Linked DNA regions of Elephas maximus indicus. The protein of the gene in region 1 interacts with the protein of each later gene in a pairwise test. Links are inferred from orthologs where the notes say so. Each region holds a gene or a part of one and is shown in the gene's direction. Other genes may lie near its edges.

What was found. The genes of interacting proteins can lie anywhere in the genome.
Region 2: the proteins of MAGED1 (region 1) and TTC23 interact in binary tests that used the Homo sapiens proteins (3 or more experiments, as listed by UniProt). The two-hybrid records come from large-scale screens. The link is inferred for Elephas maximus indicus from reciprocal best matches to the Homo sapiens genes MAGED1 and TTC23.
Region 3: the proteins of MAGED1 (region 1) and CA8 interact in binary tests that used the Homo sapiens proteins (3 or more experiments, as listed by UniProt). The two-hybrid records come from large-scale screens. The link is inferred for Elephas maximus indicus from reciprocal best matches to the Homo sapiens genes MAGED1 and CA8.

The regions. Positions count from the first base shown.
Region 1 is NC_064846.1:116,594,296-116,601,176, reverse strand, and holds the start of MAGED1 (melanoma-associated antigen D1), read left to right. Parts: upstream 1-3,876; 5' UTR 3,877-4,026; intron 4,027-4,528; 5' UTR 4,529-4,557; coding exon 4,558-4,602; intron 4,603-5,217; coding exon 5,218-5,925; intron 5,926-6,535; coding exon 6,536-6,881. UniProt on the Homo sapiens protein: Involved in the apoptotic response after nerve growth factor (NGF) binding in neuronal cells. Inhibits cell cycle progression, and facilitates NGFR-mediated apoptosis. May act as a regulator of the function of DLX family members.
Region 2 is NC_064831.1:90,663,398-90,671,275, reverse strand, and holds the start of TTC23 (tetratricopeptide repeat protein 23), read left to right. Parts: upstream 1-4,864; 5' UTR 4,865-5,062; exon of another isoform or gene 5,063-5,097; coding exon of another isoform or gene 5,098-5,101; exon of another isoform or gene 5,102-5,293; intron 5,294-7,878. UniProt on the Homo sapiens protein: Participates positively in the ciliary Hedgehog (Hh) signaling.
Region 3 is NC_064833.1:83,388,271-83,396,167, forward strand, and holds the start of CA8 (carbonic anhydrase-related protein), read left to right. Parts: upstream 1-4,883; 5' UTR 4,884-5,085; coding exon 5,086-5,185; intron 5,186-6,568; coding exon 6,569-6,760; intron 6,761-7,897. UniProt on the Homo sapiens protein: Does not have a carbonic anhydrase catalytic activity.

The DNA.
Region 1 (6,881 bases):
TGCTATTAATGCTGCCCCTAAAACCTGGATTTGCTTGTGGCTGCTTCTACTACCACACAACTATGACAATAAATTACCTGTCTTTGCATCTTTGAATCATTCCTTCCAGATAAAGTGTTAGCTGGAGTTATGCAGTAAAGTTTTGACATATCAGATCCAGGGTGTTCAAATCCCATGCATTCTGAAGAAAGGTCTGGCCTTTGACCAGCTTCTGGGAGGCAATGTCTAAACCCTTGAAATAGCCTGCCTGATGAGTGTCTTTGTTCACCTGGGGTCTTGGGCCATGGCAGATAGTTTATTCCAGCAATGTAATTTATGGAGGGGACTTTCAGCCAGGCAATATCAGTTTGACCTCTGGAGGGGCTGGAGACTGAGTAATTAAGGTCAGCCACATGGGCACCCCATGCCTATATGACCGATCCCCAGTAGAAACCCTGGAGACCAAGGATCAGATGAGCTTTAGTAGTTGACGAAACTCCATTAAGTATTGTCACACATCATTGCTGGGAAAATTAAGTGCTATCCATACAACTCCACTGGGAAAGGACAACTGGAAGCTTATGCCTTGTCTCTGGACTCTCCCCTATGGGCCTTTTACCTTTGCTGATTTTAATCTGTATCCTTTCACTGTAATAAACCATAACCATGAGTTTAACAGATTTTTTAGTTCCTTGAGTCCTTCTATTGAATCATTGAACATAAGCGTGGTCCTGGGGGCCCCTGATGTACTGGTAAATCCTAGATCACATTTTCTTAGTTGCCAAGGGAATATGAAGAAACGACTATCTGGGTTTTGCAGTTGGAGCTATTGTGTAGTATAGAGTACATGCTGTATTACCTTACTAAAATGTGAAAAAAAAAACTTTGTAATAGAGATGACCCCAGGGGTTTTCGATAAGTACCTGTAGGTCTGTATAAAGACCTCCTACAAATCAATAAGATAAAGACAGGCAACCCAAAAGAAAAATGGTCAAAAGATTTGCACAGGCACTTTACAAAAGAAATACGGTAGGTTCATTAATATATGGAAATGTGTTTCAACACATTACTTATCAGAAATGTAATTAAAACACAAGGAGATACCAATACATACACATCAAATTGGCAAAAAATTGGCAAATTCTCACAATACCAAGCACTGAACAGTTTAATACTTTGTGGTACATCCACATCATGGAATATTATGCATCAATTTAATGGATCAAAAGTAGACTGGGGATTAGTAAGATAAATCAGATGCATAAAGTGTATATAATATGATCTTAATATTTGTAAAACAAAAAAATTACTTTTGAGCATGAATGGATATAAAATTGCTTGTTAAAATGCATGTTTGAAAAGGAGGATGAGAATGATTGCACAACTCAAAGAATGTATCAGAGTCACTGAATTGCACATGTAGAAAATGTTGAATTGATGTATGTTTTGCTGTACATACTCTCAACAGAACAACAAAATAAATTTTAAGAAATGCATGACTGGCAGGTAATGGTAGAGATGAAAGACAAGTGTAGGAGGCAATAAACAAAAGAAGGCAATTTAAAATATTCATAGCCTGTATAATGCCATTTATGTAAGAATATATAGACATGCATGTATAGATATGTATACATATAGTGACGTATGAAAGGGTTGCATAAAAATCTTAATAGCAGTTATCTCAAGGTGGTGAAATTTGGAGTGATGTTTACTCAATTTCTAAGATATTTAGGTAATGTTCAAATTTTTAATGATGACCACCCATTATTTATATAATGAGGAAAGAATAAGTGAATTTATACAGAAAAGAAAAAAGAATGTCTCTCAGATTTCTTGCTTGAACAAGTTGGATGGTGGGATTCACTGACTGAGCATGTAAATATGCCAGGTATCCTTCTAGGAGCTGGGGATGCAACAATGAATGAAACAAACAAAAATCCATCTCCCTAAAGGGCTTACATTCTGATGGGGAGAGAAAGAGATGAACAGAAGAGAAGCACACAGTGTTGGTGGGGAGGGGGCTATATACAAAGGAATCAGTTTGGGACATGCCAATTTTGAGGATACCAAGAAATATCCAATAGAAGGAGTAAGGTAGGCAGTTGAATTACGAATGTAGAATTCATAGGCCAAGTCAGGAGTGGATACAGATTTGGAGGCAGAAAACATATAAAATGGTGTTTCAAACCCCTTTTTCTGAGTCTGATCACGTCCCACTGCAGACACTTTACAGAGGAAGTGCTGAAGAAAAACAGGCAGCTGACAGAGGAGGTTGCTATGCAACAGATGAGGAAAGTCATCCAACCAGGCAGAATTGATATTGGCCCTTGGGGATCAAATGTTGCTGTCCTTCCGAGCATTAGTTTCCTTTCATATGCAGGCATCTGGCAGGAATTCATGCCAGAACAAATGTGAAAAACAAAGATCTGGCTTGGATTTTGGGAAGGTGTTTAATTTGAGTTACATCACATCTGTCTATTATTTCTGCCTTTTTGAGTTTCTCTGTCATCCAGGAAGCACAGCGGCATGTGTGTTCTTGTGTCTCCCATTTCTACATATTTAGAAACTGGGGTTCAGAGAGGTTGAGTGACCTGAGCGGCCTCACACAGCCAGTGACAGACAGGCACAGCACTTCATCCCAGGAATTTTGAAGCCCAGCCCAGCTTCATTCCATGAGACCAGAGCTGCCCCAGGCCCCAGCCCTGGAAGGAACCAGAACAAACATTTACTCTGAACCAGGGTTTACACTAGGTTAGGGTTTCCCATGGCTCAGACGCACAAGGGCCTGATTGTCCTGGCTGCTCCAGTGAGCACCAGGGAGGCCTCTGGGACAATGTGTTCATGCCACTCACAACTAAGAGACCTGACAGTGGAGCTATTCCCTTGGAGCAATTCCCACATCTGAATGGACCCACATAGAGCAGTCAGGGGGCGGGGCTGGGTTCTCTACCTGAATTTTCCTGAAGGCAGAGCATGAGCTTGGACCACCAGGAACACAAAGCTTGGCTTTTTGGGACAGATATTGGGGGCTGTCACCCCCAACCAGCGGCACATGGCGTTGGAGTCTGAAAGACCCAGGCACAAATTTTGTGTTTACTGTGGCCTTGTGTAGTTCATTCACCTTGTCTGTAGCTCAACTTCCTTATCTGTAAAATTGGGATGCTGACATCCACCACCTAGGGCAGCTGCGAGAGGAAAACAAGCCCCCGGACAGATCCTGCTGTGTTGTACAAGCTTGCCCCTCCCTCGCCCCTACACACACACACACACACACACACACACACGCGCGCGCGCGCGCGCACACACACACACACAATCCAGCTGGGGCTGCGCAAAATGGCAGGGAAGAAACTAATGTTCTACATTAGTCTGGGAGCTAGTAAGGAAGCCATGTAGAGTCACGTGGCAGGCACAGATAACTGCTTCCCCCAGTAGTGTATCCTTTCTGGCCATTCCTTTTTCTGGGTCTAGCACTTGTCGCAATTAGAGACCTCACATAGAAGAGACCTCATCAATAGTAACCTAAGGAGCGCCGGGCAAGGGGGTGGAGATTCACGCGGACCTGAGAGGAGGAGCCTTGAGAGGGGTGGGATAGAACACAGACGCATTGCGGAAAAGGTAGGGGGTTGGTGTGTGGGGCAAGGGGTGGGGCCAAGAGGCACTGCGCATCTGCTGAGGGATGGGATGTAGCGTAAAGGGAGGGATCGTTGTATACTGTCGATCTGGTTGGTGGTGGAGTGGTGTGTTGGCAAAGGGGCGGGACTGCCTTCCAGTGCACATGCGCATCTTGATTTTCAGGATGAAGCTTTTGTTGGAAAAGCGGGCGGGACTCTAGTTGGTTGTTCAGCGTTTGCGCATGCGCACAACGACCTGAGGCGGTGGGTGGTATATTAGGCCAAGAGGCGGGGTCGCCCAAGCTGCCGCGCTGGCATTTTCTCCTGGACAGGGAGAGGGTGCGGCTGCTGAGAGCCGAGCACTGCAATCCAGATCCTCTGAGTCTTGAAGAAGGGAGACAACGAGGGGGTTGGGGTTGGGGCCTGAGGCAAGGTGAGAATTAGCCCCCAGACAGGGCATCTGCCCCCTGGTGCGGGCCCCCATTTTTTTTTATCATCTTATCCCGGATTCTGAACCCCTTCCTCAAACCTCGATTCACATTCCCCACCCCATCCTCCCTGACTCAGAAGCCCTGTTCGCTATCTGAACCCCTGTCCAGTCCCTCCCATCGCTCGAAATCTCCACAGATTTCTCGACCTCGATCTCTACTGTAACACGATTCCCTCTAATTCGAAACCTCCATTCAACTTCCCAAATCCCGATGTGATCCCGAATTCAAAACGCTCATCTGCAACCGGAATCCCTTCAGTAGTTTCTCGGGATTTCCATCTGGACACTCAGTTCACTTTTCCCGCCCGGATCTGGCCGGTTCCCCTCATATTCGGCACTTCATCCGCCCCCGTAATCAAACCACAGACCCTTTCCCTCAATTCGGACCTTCCTATTTGCCGTCTCCAGTTTAACCCCCAGCTCCTCCCCCACAACCCCCCCCCAGGCTCCACTCTTGCCAGAGGGACTGGAGCCATGGCTCAGAAAATGGACTGTGGTGCAGGCCTCCTCGGCTTCCAGGTGAGATTTCAGCTCCCTAACCCACCATTTCCCCAGCCGCCAGTTCTCCCTGGGCCCCTTTGGCCACCCAAATGCCTGAATCTGATTTTGCCCTCTTTGTGCCTAGACTCTGTTGACTTTCAAATTCTTATCGGTTATTGGGGGGGGGGGGCGTTCCTTTTCAGCCATCAGTCCCTGCTCAGAGAAAGGGGAGACCCTGTTAATAGTCAGGGCAGTCTGCCCAGAGACTGCAGGTTGGATGAGGAACCATTTTTTTCTGGAGTCCTGATGCTTGTAGAGCAGTCTGCCTCCGCCTCCCCCAAGACCGTCCTCCACCTCCACCACCCCTGTCTCCTGCATTCCCCACTCCCTGCGACCCTTCCTTATTCTCCTCAACTCACTCTACCTCCGACCCTGAAGTCCTACTGTAGGCTTCACCCTCATTCTCACTCCGCCCCTACCACCACCACTTTTGTTGTGGTTCTGCTCCTGTCAGGCCCCCTAGGTCTCCACCTCAGCCCTCCTCCTTTTGCACCAGCTGGCCACCTGCACCTCCCCTGTCTGCTCCTCCCACCCTCCCACTCCTCCTTCAGAGGCCCAGAGATTTAATCCCCTCCCCCCACCCCGTATTTACAGACTGAAGCCTCTATGGAAGACAGTGCCTTGCTTATGCAGACCCTTATGGAGGCGATCCAGATTTCGGAGGCTCCACCTACCAACCAGGCCACAGCAGCTGTCAGCAGGCTGAATGCAAGCCCCTCGAGTTCACAACCTCCGTCTGCCAAGGAGATGACTGACATTCATGTTGTAGCAGCTGCCACTAGGCCTAAAACAGCCCTTAAGGCCCAGAATGCCACCACAAAAGGCCCAAATGGTGCCTATGATTTCTCTCAGGCTGTTAATGCCAAGGAAATGCCCAACACCCAACCTAAGGCAAGCTTTAAGCCCCAGAATGCCACCACAAAGGGCCCAAATGTTGCCTATGATTTTTCCCAGGCAGCAACCACCAACAAATCCGAGATGGGTTTTAAAGCCCAGAATGCCACTACCACGGTGGGTCCAAATGCCACCTACAATTTCTCTCAGTCTCCCAATGCCAGTGAGATGACCAACTCCCAAACTAGGACAGCCTTCAAGGATTGGAATGATACCACCAAGGCCTCAACAGCTGATACCCAGACCCAGAATGTTAACCAGGCCAAGATGGCTACTTCCCAAGCTGACATAGAGACCAACCCAGGTATCTCTGAACCTGAGGGTGCAGCTGCACAGGCATCAGCAGATGGTTCCCAGGCTCAGAATCTGGAGTCCCGGACTATAATTCGGGGCAAGAGGACCCGTAAGGTGAGATCCCTGCTAGGTCCACTTTGGTTTGGACTCTCTCCTTTCTTCTTTGTGATTGTTCATTTGTTATAAACAAAAAATGTAATTGCCTGTATTCTGTTAGATTGTAGAGGATATTGAGGTAAATGTGATAGTTTCTTTCCTCAGAGTGTCCACAGACTGATGAGATAAGACAATGCTTACAACATGGATATAATTTTATTTGTGTTTTGATAGTAGCTACCATGTGTTAGGCCTAGAACTAGCCACATTTATACAAATTATCTCAATTAAATCTTGAAGGTAACTCTTTATCAGCTAGGGATTATAGTCCCAGTTTTACAGAGAAGGAAGATGAGTCCCAGAAAGGTGATATGACTTGTCCAGGGTGGTACAAGCAGTGCCAGTGGTGGACACAGGAAGAGGAGAAGCCTCAGGCCCCACCCTTGGGTTGTTCCTGGCCTGATTCGGAGATGAAACTCCTGCCTGGAAGATAGTGAAAGACAAGCCTGGGGCTAGTGGGTCAGGCTGTCACTACAGGTGAGGGTTTAGGAGGCTTTCCCAGAAGTGTTAGGGTGAGGACATAGAACCATCTGGTGACCCCTGACCTTTTTTCTCTCTGATGATGCAGATTAATAACTTGAATGTGGAAGAAAACAGCAGTGGGGATCAGAGGTGGGTCCCACTGACTTCAGGTACTTGGAGGTCTGCACCAGTTCCAGTGACCACTCAGAACCCACCTGGCGCACCACCCAACGTGCTCTGGCAGACGCCATTGGCTTGGCAGAACCCATCAGGCTGGCAGAACCAGACAGCCAGGCAGACCCCATTGGCACATCAGAGCCCCCCAGCTAGGCAGACCCTACCAACCTGGCAGAACCCAGTTGCTTGGCAGAACCCAGTGATCTGGCAGAACCCAGTGATCTGGCAGAACCCAGTGATCTGGCCTAATCCCATTGTTTGGCCTGGCCCAGTTG
Region 2 (7,878 bases), on another chromosome or scaffold:
AGAAATGCTCAAGCAACCACAATGAAACTGAGCTTTGTTCAAAAATCCACTCTCTGCTTTCCTGGGCACTCTTTCCCAAACTCTTTAATGAAAGCACCTTTTAAAGAATTTTTTTCCTTAAGAAAAATTACTTTCACCAAATTATATACTACAAAATGTCATAACAATAGCTTTCAAAAAGCAGAGTTTTGTAACTTTTTGTTTTCTATTATTTCCAAACTCTAATTTCTAGCTAATAAGAAAGCACCTGTATTTTATTTAAAAGGACAGAGAACATGGCATATTCAGTAATACCCCCAATGCAACATAAGAATACAGTACTTTCCCATAAGTTCTGCTACCTACTCGTTCACTGGTTTTTTTAGGAGACATGTGACTCTGAGCAAGACACTCAGTCTCTCTACGCCTTAACTCTTGTACCTGTAACACTAGAGACATTATCAATGACTGTGGGAAAAGGGAAGCGTCCAAGGTAATTACTCACTTAAGTCCTAAACTGGAAACAGCTTAGGCGGCTCACAAACATCTCAAAATTAACACATTCAAAAGGTAGGTTTTGATTTTCATCACCCATCTGAATCCTCCCCCTGCCCCATCCCCTATTTTTCCCATCTCAGTAAATGGCACACACCTCCATCCACCCAACTGCTCAATCCCGGAACCTGGAAGTCATGCCACGTCTTGCCACTTCCAATCCATCACAGGGCCCGTGGTTTGGAACTTCAAAGTACATGTCAAATCCACCCACATCTTTCCATCTAGCAAAACCCCAAACCAATGTCCTCTTTTGCCTGGCCAACTGTATTACTGATCTCCCTGCTTCTACTATGAGGTCCCTGGGTGGTGAAAACTGCGCTTGATTTGCCCTCGAATACTAACCAAAAGGTTGGCAGTCCAAACCCACCCAGCGGCTCTGTAAAGATTAAGGCGAAGAAAACCGTATGGAGCTCATTTCTACTATGTAGCACATGGGGTCACCGTGAGTCAGAACTGACTAATGGCAACTGGTTTGGTTTTCTGTTTTCACCCTAGCCACTTTCCAACAGTGAATTGTCTCTCGCGCTCTCTCTCTCTCAGGCATACTCACCTATACGCTCCAAAACCAAAACCAAACCCACTGCCACAGAGTTGATTCTGACTCACACATTCTACTAAATAAACTCTTTAAAAACTTCTCAACTAGAAAATCAAACTATTAGAAAAACCCTGAGGGCTCTTCACAATAAGCCTCACCCACTTCTCCAGCCTTATCCAGAAGCTCTCTCCCAGTCTTATCTCTCTCCAAGCTCCTGGGATTCCCTAGTCCTTGAAATGCCAAACCTTCCACAGCACTTGCTGTTCTCTTAACCTGGAAAGCACTATTCTGTACTTTGGGTTTCAGCAACACTTAGCTTCCACCTAAACTATGGAGTCCCCGGGTGGCAAACAGTTAACATGCTCAGCCGGCATACAAAAGGTTGGAAGTACAAGTCCACCAGAGGTGCCTGGGAAGAAAGGCCTGGCAATCTACTTCTGAAAAATCAGCCACTGAGAACCCAATGGAGCACAATTCTACTCTGACAGCACACAGGGGTCACCATGGGTTAGGGTCAACTGGATAGCAACTGGCCACCTTGTGTTTGGACTGAAGTGTTCCTCTATTATTCTTTCAGGGCAACCTGTTCTGTTTTGCTTTGGATCTTTTTGGTAGGACTCCTCACCACTCATAATATGCATTTATTGGTGTATCTGTTTATTGCTTACTGCAAGCTTGCGACATGCCATAAGCACGTCTAATAGCCACCGCGTTACACACAGCATTGCAATACACATTACTTAACCCACTTCATAGGTGAAGGCACTGAGATTCTCACAGGATGAGTAACTTGCCAGTTCAAACTTAAAGAAGCTGACTCCAAGGCCTGTGTCCTACCCTCCCTTGCAGCCTTTCATGCACTTTATTGCTGCAAAATGCAACCACAGAGCTTGTTCCTATAATCATTTATGTGGTGGGCAAAGCTTACACAAATGTAAAGCTAGAAAGCAAAAACAACATCCACAGTTACTGACGGAAGATTCAATAAGATATTTCACTGTATGGCACTAGTTTTTTAGTTTTTTTTTGACCCTTTTCCTTTTGAATCCTCTGAACTGAACTGGTTATCTCAGAAACATCACACCCTGTTAATACGTATCTTGCTACAAAGGCAGTTTGGGAGATAAAACCCATACAAATGAAATCTGAAAGCTGCTAACAATAAACAAGGCTAACGATTTTCCAATATGCATTCACTGGCAATATACAGCCTTTAAGAGGATAATTTTCGTACACAATGGACTTCACCGCCTCCTACCTACAGCTAAGGTAAATGGTACATTTCATATCAACTGTACACAAGCGCACCTCCACACGAGATTACCCCGGCAAACACCACCTTGTTATTCGAAAAGCAAAGCTCTTCATCTCAAAAAAAAGTCTACACAATTTTAAGCAGCAATGTTCTAAAGGGAAGGAGTTTCTAAGACTGACTTCCCCGTGCTTAATGCAGTGGCTACCCAGTACAATGTTCTAATATCGGAGATGAGAGAATTATAAACCGTATATGAAAAGCCTTTTTCAAAGGCTGTTTTCGCAGTACTGGCAACGGCTAGCAGAAGTCTTAGGCGAAACAAATGCCGTTCAGCCCGAGTGAGCCCAGCACGGACGCCGTTTGGAAAGCAAACGACAGTTTGGAAGCAGCGCGCCCACTGGCAGGGATCTCAGACCCCGGTGTCGGGCTCCTCGGGTCCGAGGGGGCGGCGGGGCGCGGCGGGACGGGAGGCCTGAGCGATCGCAGCGACCCGAGGCCCGGACCGGCCCGTTTGGGCCGGGGTCCCACTCCTCGCGGCCCACTCGGCTTCCCCAACGTGGCCCGGGGCAGCCCCGCCGGGAGTCGGGCCGGAGGGCCCCGCCACGTGAGCCACCCGACACGGCAGGTAGCCACACTCACCTGGGCGCCGGCGGAGCCAGCGCTCCCGAGCGCAGGAGACACTGGACGGCAAGCCGAGGGCCCGCGGGAGAGGGGCGGGGCCTCGGGGGCGGGGCCCCGGGCGCCGGGAGGGGCGGGGCGAGGGTGGGGCGGGGCGCCGGGCAGCACAGGGCGGAACCCGCACCTCAGGGAGTGAGGGAAGTGGGAGCCGTGGAGAGGAGAGCGGAACCTCGCGATAACTTGCCCCCGTTCGTGCGGATTCGCGATAGGTGGGACGAGAAGCACGTTTTCCACGAGATGTGTCTATTGGCCGAGAGCGCGGCTTCCTCCACACTGGTCCCGCCCCCTGCCGGCGCTTCCGGCTCCGGCCTGGCGGCTTCTTGGGGTAGCGGGTTTTTGTTTTTCTGAAGTTGTAATTTAACCTTTTCCAGCCCCAAGATCCGGCAATAGTTAACTTTTTCTTTCATTCATGCGTTCATTCAGGCACTCGTGCTCTCGCCCAGTGCATACGTTAAGGAATTGCAACAATAATAACACCGGATGTTGAGCTGTGCGTGGGCTATCTTTTACCCCTCACAACAGCCCCTTCCCACGGGTGCTATTATCCCCTTTCGACTGGTGAAAACCTGAGGCCCGGTGGGTTTCTGTAACGTGGCCTAGGGCAGCACCGGATTTAAAGACTCGGTGGCAACGGGTTTGGTTTTGGTTTTTTTGGTGAGTACCAGGTTCCAAAGATGAAATAACCCAGTCACTGCCCTTGAAACACCGAAGATGTGTAGTGAGTTACGTATTATGGAAGTCCCTAGCATGACTGGGTAGTCCGTCAATAAATATCACTTCAAGAATCAATTTTCCTGTGTCAGTGGAAAGAGACATCAAAGGAAGACGGCTTCAAACTGCTTTGAAAACAACAACCAAGCATTGTTCTGGAATATTAAAACACATACACACATTTTTAAAATACCACGCTTGTTAATGTAACAATTTTATGATGAAGTGAAAATTGTTTTAAAAAGTGTCCTCCCTTAAAACTGCAGTTGTTTATTGGTCTTTGAAAAGCTTGATTTTGGTAATTTTCTAGAGCCTCATTGTAAAGCAACTTTATAATTAACTATTTTCAGTTTGGCTTAATTACTCTTAGATATGAATTACCTAGAAAGGAGAATTATATTTTTTAAAAACTTCCAAAACACGTTGTTAGTTATAAATTACCAATTAAATCTGGTCTTAAGTATACAGGATAGTAAATGTCATATAGTTCTAAGTGTTTTTTTTTTTTTTGGTTGGGGTAGACATTTTTTGCTAGGATTAAAATGAAGAAACCTAAAGCGTGTGTAAAAACAAATTCTTAGGATATTAATGATCAGCCAAAATAATAAAACCTGCTCCTAATACAGAAGTCACAAAAAAGGATTAACAATAGAACAACAATTTTTTTTTTTTTAAACGTGCTGATCAATGTCTGCCTCTTTGGTTTTCATTTCTTCAAAAAATTTTTTTCAGTGGAGCAATTTAGTATATGATACTTGGTCTTGAAAAATGTACCATCTTAAAAATTTTTTTTAAATAACTTTTAACACCCCCCCTCAATTGACACAAAAGTAACCAAGTGATAATTGATAATATAGTATTCTATGACCATTAATGAAAGTCTTCTCATTATATAAAGAATCAGTTTTCACATTTTGCCTTACTTAAAACAAGGGAGGAAGACCCCTCTAACTTAAGTTAGCGATTTTGCAAACTTTCACATCAGCAGGCAGCGATACCACTTTAAGAAAATTCCAAGGAAAAGACAACCCCTTTAAAATTCCCACCTCTGGCTCCCAAGGATTGGATTGCAAACTCCAACAAAATACTCTTCTCCACTTCCTATTGGTGCCTGCTCTATCACTCATTCTTCTGCCTTAAATTTTGTGAAGCACCAGGTTGCTTTACGGGAAAAGGCTCCTCTGATTTAGTCTGAAAGTGCCTACTTTAGGCTTTTTCATGGTTATTAATCTGTACAAAGAATCACAAAACTGATAAAGCGGGAACGAAACTGGTAAATCAGGCTACAAGACAACTGTGAAATTCGCTGGAAAAAGAAACGGAGAACCACTCAAGAACACAGGGTAAACTGACAAAGGATTTTACGACAAAGTTAGAGATGTGTGAGTTAAGAACCTTTTCCCGTTTTTTGCTGGTTTTAAAGGAGCAAGTGTCAAAGGAAAGCCAGAGAAGATGTAGGCATGATCTAAGGGTGACAGGAGGGGGAATTTTCAGAAGATATTTTCCTCATTAGGGAGCAGTTGAAAGAGCATCCTCAGATGATCGGTGGATTTCTGAAAGGTCAAGGGAACAAGGTGATAAGACTAATCATAAATTGTTTTCTACTCTAAGAAGCTGTGATTTGTTATTGTTTTGCTTTAACGTGGACTTATTAAAGCAAATTTAATAATACTGTAATTTATAAATGAATTGGATATTTTTGTACATTACCATACCTAGCATAAGAGACGATCCATCTATTAAAGATGTAAGAGAAAATTAGAATCATCTTTGTACCTAAATTTTGTATATATTTGTGGATTAGGAAATCCAGACCCGCTAATGACCAAACAAAACACCATATTGGCATATAAAGCAGAATCACTAAGTAGGTAATGTTAAGAATAAATTCTCAAAAAAAAATCTAGCATTAATATTTTCAAAAATGATATTTTCATTAAAACTACAATATAAAAGTATAGGAGGATATTGATAAATATGAATACATTAATTATATTAAAACTTGGATTTAGAATGGCAATAGGCAGTGATACCACTTTAGTATCTAGCCCAACATATAGTCCTAAAATAAAAAAATATAGCACCTTAAAATTCTTCAAACATTAATTCAGCTAGTACTTATAATACCTAGTGGCACGTCTACAAAGCCTAAACGCACAGTAGGCATGCACTAAATATTTCTTGAGTGCCTTCTATTAATCCATTTTGAGAAATATAATAAAATAGAGCCCCTTGAAGAAGCTCAGACTGACCCAACCCAGTGCCGTCAAGTCAGTTCCAACTCATAGCGACCCTACTGGCTGGGAGAAAAATCAGTCTCAAAACATTTAAGTTAAAACTATGAGCTCTTCTTGATGCCCAGATAACTGTTACAGACCATAGATGCTTCAAGATCTCAGGTCTGAGTAGAAATATTCAGGAAGGCCTTCAAGTAGGTGAGGCCCAATTCGGGCCTGAGCAATGGGCAAAATTTCAGTAGATATGAAAGAAGGGATGTGACCTTCCAGGTAGTAGGTGAGTTGTTAGCAAATACGTGCAGCCTTGACTTCAGCAGAAGGCTCATTTGGGAATCTTGATTTAAAAGAAAACTTACATGACCGTAGAGCCAAAAGTACCAGAATTGAGGAGTTTAGTCCTGAGTTTTGAACAGGAGAGAGACTTTATGAAAGTAATATACAAAGAAGATAAAACTGACAGTGCCATTTAAGATGGCCCCAAGGGTAGAGAACAGAAGCAAAGAAGCAAAACATTGTAAATACTAGAGTACAGATTATAACTGAGCCTCTTAAAGCATTTTGTCAAATCCCTTTACTGTTGTTGAATAACATAAATCTTCATGCATTTCTTCATACTCTTCGAAAGCTTTGAGTTTATTTCTTGTTTGGCAGTACAGATAACGATTTGGTTAGGTGTGGGACTGGTTGTGGTACAGTTAAAACAGCAAAGGTGATTATATTGTACATTGAAGTGGTTCTTTCTCTTTTGTCTCAGAATTTACGTGTGTTTTCTTGATTTTATTAAACTGAATTGAAGGAGTTACAAAAACAAAACAACAACCAAAAAAACTCCTTATGACAGAAGAATGCCATGGAAGTCTATAAACTTTTCACCTGAAATGCTCCAACGTGAAATTCCACACAAACTCAGTGAGCTGTTACAATGTGCCAGGCGCTATGTTCAATGTTAGGAAAGCAAAGGGGAGTGAAGTACCATCTCCCAAAAAAAGGGCGAAGTGCTTCAGGGACACCAAGGGAGGTGGTTGTCTCCTCCTTGTCTTCATCTCTGCAACAAAACTTGCTTCTAAAGAATTGAAGCTCATCTATCCTAAGTAATTGATGAATGGTTCTTAATTAAGTGGAAGGAGAAGGAGGAATCTTACCTGTGGAAAAGAACTGTGAGACCAGCACTCATAATGTAGATAACTCAAGTGCCACACAATAATGCTTACCCAATATTCCATTTTTTCCCCTAAATATCCGAGCCCTTTTGGCTGGGAGCAAATGAAATGTTAGCAGAAGTGATAAGTGTGACTTCTGGGCAATGGTGCTCATTTTTCCAATCTTTCTTATCTTCTGCTATGACTCCTGTTGATGTATGTTGTTGCTAGGTGCCATCAAGTTGGTTCTGACTCATAGAGACCCCCTGTACAACAGAACGAAACACTGCCCCATCCTGCATCATCCTCACCGTTATTGCTATGTTTGAGTCCACGGTTGCAGCCACTGTGTCAATCCATCTCAATAAGGGTTGTCTTAGTTATCTAGTGCTGCTACAACAGAAATACCATAAATTGTTGGCTTTAACAAATAGAAATTTATTTTCTCACAACTTAGGAGTCTAGAAGTCTGAATTCAGGGTGCTGTTTTTAGGGAAGTCTTCCTCTCTCTGTCAGCTCTGGAGGAAGTTCCTTGTCTCTTTGAGCTTCTGCTCCTGAGCCATCTTCTGTGGCTTAGCATCTCTCTTCCCCCATCTCTGTTTCTTAGTTTGCTTGTTTAATCTCTTTTATATCCCAAAAGAGATTGGCCCAAAATACACCCTCCACTAATCCTGCCTCATTAACGTAACAAAGACAACCCATTCCCAAATGGGATAGTAATCACAGCCATAGAGGTTAAGAATTACAACACATTTTTTCTTTTTGGTAGGGGGAGGTGGGGTG
Region 3 (7,897 bases), on another chromosome or scaffold:
GGAAGATCTTTGTCTCTTTTCAGTTTCTGTTCCTCTGTTCCTTGGGGATTTTGATGTGGTATGACATATATCTTTGCCCCTCTGTGCTTGCTTGCTTCTGTGCTTAATCTGTTCTTTCATATCTCAAAAGTGGTTGGCTTAAGACACGCCCTACATTGATACGGCCTCATTAACACAACAAAGAACACTCTATTCCCAACTGGGATTGTAGCCACAGGTATAGGGGTTAGGATTTGCAACACATATTTTGGGGGGACACAATTCAATCCATAAAAATCTAAACCAAACCCATTGCTGTCGACTCGGTTCTGACTCAAAGCGACCCTGTAGGAGGAGCCCTGGTGACGCAGTGGTTAAAGCGCTCGGCTGCTAACTGAAAGGTCTGCCGTTTGAACACAGTAGCTGTTCCTCAGAAGATGTGGCAATCTGCTTCTCTAAAGATTTACAGCCTTGGAAACCCTCCTGGGGCAGTTCTACTCTGTCTCGTAGGGTCGCTATGAGTCGGAATCGACTTGATGGCAGTGGGTTTGGTTTTTTTGGTTTGGAATCTTTACGGAAGCAGTCCGCCACGGAACATCTGGTTTGCCTTGAATACCATCTTTTCCAAGAAAACTTCTATGATCATTCCCATCAGAATGAATTGCATCTTTCTTAGATGGAATGGTACTTGCACCTCTATTTGTGTTTCATTTTGTGTTGTACTGTAGTTAATGCTTTACCTTTCTCCTGAGGATGACTGTACGTTCCCTGAGGGCACAAACAGTGTTTTATCCATTCTGGGGTCCCCCAGAAAGCCTAGTGCAGGGCAGTGCACAGTAAGGAAAACAACAATTGATTGTTGTTGAAATTCATGACTTAAAGATCTGGACAGAAACCATTTGATCTGCGTCTTAGTTCTACCCCTGAGTTGTCCCCAGTCATATGGTACACAGAAGGAGAAGAAAGTGATAATTGTTTATGACTAATCTAGGGCCCAAACTCACCAATACCTTAAGAAAGTCTTGGTAGGGTATGTTAAAGAGTGAGGAAGGATGGCGGAAGAGAGTCGTGTAGGTATGGGGTGCTGCCAAGCGATCTTAGTACCTCTTTGTTCCTCGGACACTTGGATTAGTTTGTCCCTTTTAGGCATTTTTTTTATTTATATTCTCTTAGTATTAAATGGAATCCCTGGGTGGTGCAAATGGTTAATGTGTTCAGCTGCTAATTGAAAGATTGGAAGTTCAAGTCCACCCAGAGGCACCTCAGAAGAAAGGACTGGCAATCTACTTCTGAAAAATCAGCCATTGTAAATCCTATGGAGCCCAGTTCTACTTTGACACACATGGGGTGGCTATGAGTAGGAATCAACTCGATTGCAAGTGGTAGGAAGGTACCCAAAACCAAACCAAACCCACTGCCTTTGAGGTAGGAAGGTTAAAAAAAAAAAAAAATGTAGTGTTAAATAGTAATTAGTTATATGGGCCTTAGGAGTCCTGGTGGCTCAGTGGTTAAGCATTTGGATGCTACTGAAAGGTCAGCGGTTAGAACCCACCAGTCACTCAGTGGGAGAAAGACGTGACAGTCTGCTTCCAGGAAGATTTACGGCCTTGGGAATCCTATGGGGCACTTCTACTGTCCTATGTGGTTGCTACGCGCCGGAATAGACTCGACAGCGGCTTGTATGGTTTTTTATATAGGTCTTAGTTTTAACAAGGAGCCTTGGTGGCTTGGTGGTTAAGAGGGCAGCTGTTTACCAAAAGTTTGGCAGTTCAAATCCACCAGCTGCTCCGTGGAAGCCCTACGGGGTAGTCCTGTAGGGTCTGTCCTGTAGGTAGCTGTGAGTCTGAATCAACTTGATGGCAATGGGTTTGATTTCGTTCGGTATTAACAGGCTGTTCTACCGATGTGGTTTGACCTCTGTTAGTTACACGGACACTGTAAATGAGCGACATGAAGTTAAAGAATTTAATATGACATTAGGTTGAAATGGATTAAAAATTTTACATAGAGGAATATGCAGAGTAGCTATGTTTACAATGTAGAGCATACTTATTTTTAGATTCTCTGATATTGGATTTAAATGTGCTTTTTCTATTTTGTAAGTCAAAGGATTGGCCTAAATCTTTTATCTGAGTGTTTAGGTTTTATAGTGACAGAAACCTTATAATGACTAGAAATAGAAATTCCATCTTTAGGATAATATAATAGAGGAATGTGAGAAGAGAAGGTCTTAAGGTGTTGTTAATGAGCAGAAATTCAAAGCACATAGTCTCAAAGCAATTAAGGCTGTTAATTGAATATGTGGATGCACAGTGGGAGGGCTTCTATGTTGCTGGACAGGTTACCCTGGGTTTATATAGAGAAGTGACACTCTACAAATGATGTCGAAAAAATTCAGAAAGAACAAATATGCGTCCAAATATGTTTGTCTGGTAGTTAATTGCATTTATGAATGGCGGTAGAGTGTTGGATATATGCAACATCGTCTATTAACTGCAAAATTCAATCTTTGATCCTTTCTTGCTGTCAATATGGCACACTTAAAGAAAAGTGTACAAGAAGGTTTATTGCCATGGTGATTTTGTTGTCTCTATCACTCCTGTGATATTATAAATACAATGCTGGTCACACCATGGCTACAGCGTAGCATCTGTGCACATCTGAGGGCACAGCAATGAGCTCAGAGTGGCAAAGTGATTTTATTATTGAGGTCCTCCACTGCCTTTCATGGGGTACATTAGCTGTAGCATCTGATTAATGCATGAATAGATTTCTAAGAAGAAACTGTAATAAACTTTTCAAGATTGTAAGCAAGTTTGCAGCAAATGAAAGAGAAATGAAATGTTAGAAGAACCTTTGTGGGAAGTGATTAATGTTTTGGGTAGTGCTTTTTTTTCTTTTTAAATAGCTACAGCTTTAGCGCAAGTTCCTGGGTAGTGCAAATGGTTTGCACTGGACTACTAACCTAAAGGTTGTCAGTTCAAACCCACCCAGTGGTGTCATGGAAGAAAGGCCTGGAGATCTGCTTCCATAAAAATTATAGCCAAGAAAGCCCCAAGGAGGAGTTTTACTCTGTAACGCACGCAGTCACCATGAGTCGGTATTGGCTACACTGCAAAGGGTTGATTTGTTTTTCGTTTGCTGATACCTTTAGGGTAGACTTCTGCTTCTGCCAATCTCAGGCTAACTAAGGCGCAGAGGAGAAAGGACGTCCACTAAAGAACACCCAGAAGGCAGTGAGTGAGGGGTGAATTCAGCCTCCCTCTCAGACTGGGTCCCTCCTCAGTGCAGTGGCCAGCTTTCCCTTTTGGGGAAAGAGGAATGACAGGACTGCTTGAAAACCACAGATAATCCTCAAAGCTAAAACTGGGCAATAGTTTTCACCTATTTTGCTGAACCTTCTAGAAAATGGCAGAATTAATTGACTTGAGCTTTTTTTTTTCCCTCCTTTTACCCACTTTCCAGAGAACTTGTGAAGCGGCTTTTAAAAAAAGTGGAGAGACTTGAGCAGGCAGTGAAGGACAGCAGCACAGAACCTGGAAATCCCCACGCAGATAAGCTGTGTCCTTGCCTGAGGAACTTGGCCTGCAGAAGGACCATATGATTTAGGGATGGGCTGCTGAAACTGCTAACAGACACCAGGTGCATGAGCAGAGCAAATAAAACACACACTGTCCTTAAGGCCCAAATCTGTGCATATTATGCACATACGAATCGAAAACAAACAACAAAAAATCCCAAACTCGTTTCTGACCGGTCCGACTCATAGTGACCCCAAAGAACACAGCACAACTATCCCATAGAGTTTCCACGGAGCGCCTGGCAGCCGAGCTCTTAACCACTATACCACCAGGGTTTCCATTATGCACATATACCTCCTAAAAATATAAGATCACCTGGTTCGGGGTTATTGGCTAGGACTTTTAAAAGGCGTTGGAACAGGGGACAGACGCCACTGACACCGCATTGGAGGTATTTTTACAGTACGATCTCCGGATCCAGAACGTTCCTGTTTGTTATGCAATGTGTGCGTTTCATTGTTGACACGATTTCACCGGGCCCTTGGGAGTTGTGTACACAGCAAGCTTGCCTGTAACAGCACCCCAGACTCTGAAACTACAACCATACACCCTTTCTTTATTCCCTTTTACCGCCCATGCCTTTGAAATAATATTTTTCCATAGAGAAAGCTCCCTAAATTATATCCGCTTCTCTAGTTAAAACACTTTTTCTTATTTAAGAAGTTTACTTTTTAGGGACTACAAGTTTCTTGGAAAATTCTCCTTACTCAAGTTTACACTGTGCTCTAAGTAAGTGTTAAAATATAAATGATAACCGAAACCACCCATTGCCGTCGAGTACTCTGTAATAAAGTTTCCGAGCCGGAAACACTCTTTTATTTGGGGGGGGGGGGAGTGTATCCTAGCCCTGTTTTCTCCTACCCCCCACCCCGTTTTCTCCTACCTGTGGCCACCTATCTCCCTCCTCCCCCATCTCCTGCTTTTTCTTTCTTTTTGATGATTCCTGGTTTAGGAATGAACAATAATATGGGCAAAAGCCCTTGGTCTAGTCCCTGCACATAGCAGGTGCTCAATAAATGCTCCTTCCCTGCTCCCCCACCGGGGGGCGTGAGGGCTGACCTCGGGGTACTGGGGTGGGGGGTTCTGGAAGTTCGCGCGGAAGACAGGTTAGGAGCCCCTGTGGGACAGCAGGATGGGCGGAGGAAGCAGTGGGGTCGTGCTCTTTCTCTCGCCTCGGCCCCATCGCCCCAAGCGCCGATTCCTGCTGTCCACCCGTGGTGGGTCCCCCGCCACCGAGCGGAGGGGGCGGGTCCTCGCGTGCCAGACACGCCCCAGCCGGGTTTATAATTGGCCCGGCGCGCGCTGCCAGAGCTGCGGCCGCTCCCTCGCCCGGTGGAGAGTCGGGGTGCGCCCTCCGCGCCAGGACGCACGGCACTGCGGCCGGACCTGCCCGCTCGCCCTCGCGCTCTCACTCCCTCACGTGCGCTCACGCTCCCTCCGCAGCTCGCCTGCAGGCTCCCTCGCTCGCCCTGCGGAGGCGGAGACGGCGCCGGCGAGGACGCCGAGGGGACCCGCCGAGCTTCCCATGGCTGACCTGAGCTTCATCGAAGATTCCGTCGCCTTCCCCGAGAAGGAAGAGGATGAGGAGGAAGAGGAGGAGGGTGTGGAGTGGGGCTACGAGGAAGGTAACCGGCCGTGGGTCGGCTGTCCGGGGCCCCAGAGGCTGTGCGCCGCGTGGGTCTCCCCGCGAACGTGGGCTCTGCGCTCTGCCCGCGTGGCGCGCTCGGAGCACCCCCGGGTCCCTTCTTTTCCACGTGTTTCTCCACAGCTTTCCGACTCTCCCGGTCCGTTCTGGCGCGGAAGGCTTTCCGGGGAGGGCGGGCATCCCGCCGCCGCCGCCGCCGCGACTCCGGTGCGGGGCTGGCTTCCCTCGGGGCAGCGGGTCGCACCTGCCGCCTTCCGGAGGGCGAGCCTTAATGCAGGGGCTCTGCCGTTTCAGATGCACGACGACCCCGAGCTCTGTCCTCTGAGTAGCCGGGGAAAGCATTTTACTTACATTTTACTCAACATCTTGATAGTACAGTGCTAGCAGTGGGTGGTGGAGTGAAACTCTTCGTTTCTGCTTGCCGTGAGGACTCTGAGGACACAGTATTTCTGACTCTGCTCTTGTCCTGAAGGACAGTAGTAACGCTCAGCTCTTTCTAAAACATGCCGTAGATTTCAGACTGAACCAGTGGGCTTGGCAAAGAGGTTGACTTTTAAAAAAATTTAGTGTCCCGACCATTAGGGCTGATGTTAACTACATAAAAAAACTACATCATTGAAACAAATATAGAACTTAGAATTTTAATTATAAAAAGTATGGAGTTTATGTATATATTTTAATATGGACACTTCAAAATATTCTTATTTGCATTTATGAAAAGTAGAGTTTATTCACTGACATGAAATGTAGTTTTTGGCTCTCACCCAGAGTGTTTAAAGTATTTCCCAAGTACTGAACACAGTTAAACTAATGAGCAGAGGAAACTTTTATGGTGTTACTTGTTTCTCATCATTGAAAGGAGCCCTGGTGGAGCAGTGGTTAAGAGCTTGGCTGCTGACCAGTAAAGGTCGGCAGTTCGAATCCATCAGCAGCTCCGTGGAAACCTTGTTGGGCAGTTCAACTCTGTGCTGTAGGGTGGCTATGAATCGGAATCAGCTCAACAACAATGGGTTTGGCTTGGTTTTTGGTTTTAATCATTTAAAAATGACATATTTCGTTGAGTCATAAGTTATTACATCTGTGTGGGCAAGTAAAAAATATGCTATTTTGTTCATCCAGGGTTTCGTATGCGATGTTTCATAATATTATTGCATTTGAAATATGAATGCAAAAATACACGTACACCTTGCATATGTCATCTTCATAGAGCTGGTAGTCATGACCCTCTTAAAGCCAAGGGACACTGACTGGATCATAGACCTTCTACGTAGGCAGGCAGATTTTATTTGGCAGTGTCCTGGTTTTTATGGTAAGTTTTGCTGTAACTTATTTTACTTTAGTCTGTTCTTAATTTTGCCCATAGGTGTTGAGTGGGGCTTGGTGTTTCCCGATGCTAATGGTGAATATCAGTCTCCTATTAACCTGAACTCAAGAGAAGCCAGATACGACCCCTCACTGCTCGATGTCCGCCTCTCTCCAAATTACGTGGTTTGCCGAGACTGTGAAGTCACCAATGATGGACATACCATTCAAGTGATCCTGAAATCAAAATCAGGTATTTGAAAAGATGCTCTTGCATGCTCTTCTAAACTAGAAGTCATGGTGGAGCTATTGAACTCTCATTGTTTAGCCTGTATGATCTAAAAGGTCAAAGTAACATAGCTCTGTTTTATATCAATACGTTTATATATTACAAGGACCCCTGGTGGTGCAGAGGTTAAGAACTCAACTGCTAACCAAAAGATGGACAGTTTGAACCCACCAGCCGCTCCTTGGAAGCCCTATGGGGCAGTTCTGCTCTTTCCTATAGGGTTGTTATGAATCGAAATTGACTGGATGGCAGAGGGCTTTTGGTTTGTATGTATTATAAAATGCATTTTTTAAATTATTTTCAGAAATATTTTTAAAAGGGTAAAAGGATGAAATTGTGAAGATGTCAGCTTGGTTCTTGTATGACATTACTGGAACAACCTTAGTTTGGTTAATTTACACTTTATGAAATCTGAGGAAGGTATATCCAGGAGTACCTAACTGCATTTTGTCCTAAAGTTTTTGCTAGCTTAAGTTATTTAAGTAATTACAATTCTCTGATTTACTACTTAATTTGTAAAACTAAATTTTAGGATTTATCGACATAACCTGGCATCCAAGTTAAACCCTTCGAATTATTTTTTTCTGCTGTATTAATGAGGAGGATTTTAGCAAGCAGCAATCAAGAACACCTGGCATCTCAGCAAAAGATTTAAGTGGAAGAGCCCTTGCTTTTATTACTAAAAAGCAAACAACAACAACAACAACAACAAAAAAGCCTTTCTTAATCTATTTGAGATGGATCTAGAATATTTTAAGGAAAAGGTGCTGGGTAATGACTATGGAAATAGGTTGTTGTTTTAAATGTAGGGGAGAGAAAAGCAAAATTTTTAAATTAGCATTAATGTCATGCTTTTCATAATGAATAATAACTCCCTCTTGGAAAAAAATATAGAATTAGAGCATGTTGAAATATTAGGAAGCGCTTGGTAAACAGAAACTGAATGTACTCAAATTAATTTTGAATCGATAAAGTCGATTTTTCAAATCATAAAATCTTTAGGTTTATTATTAGTGCAGGTATTGATTTCCAGCTATGGCTATTTTCTTCATCATGAATGTTTCTGAGCCTTAATTTAGAATCCGTGGGATAGTTGCAGAG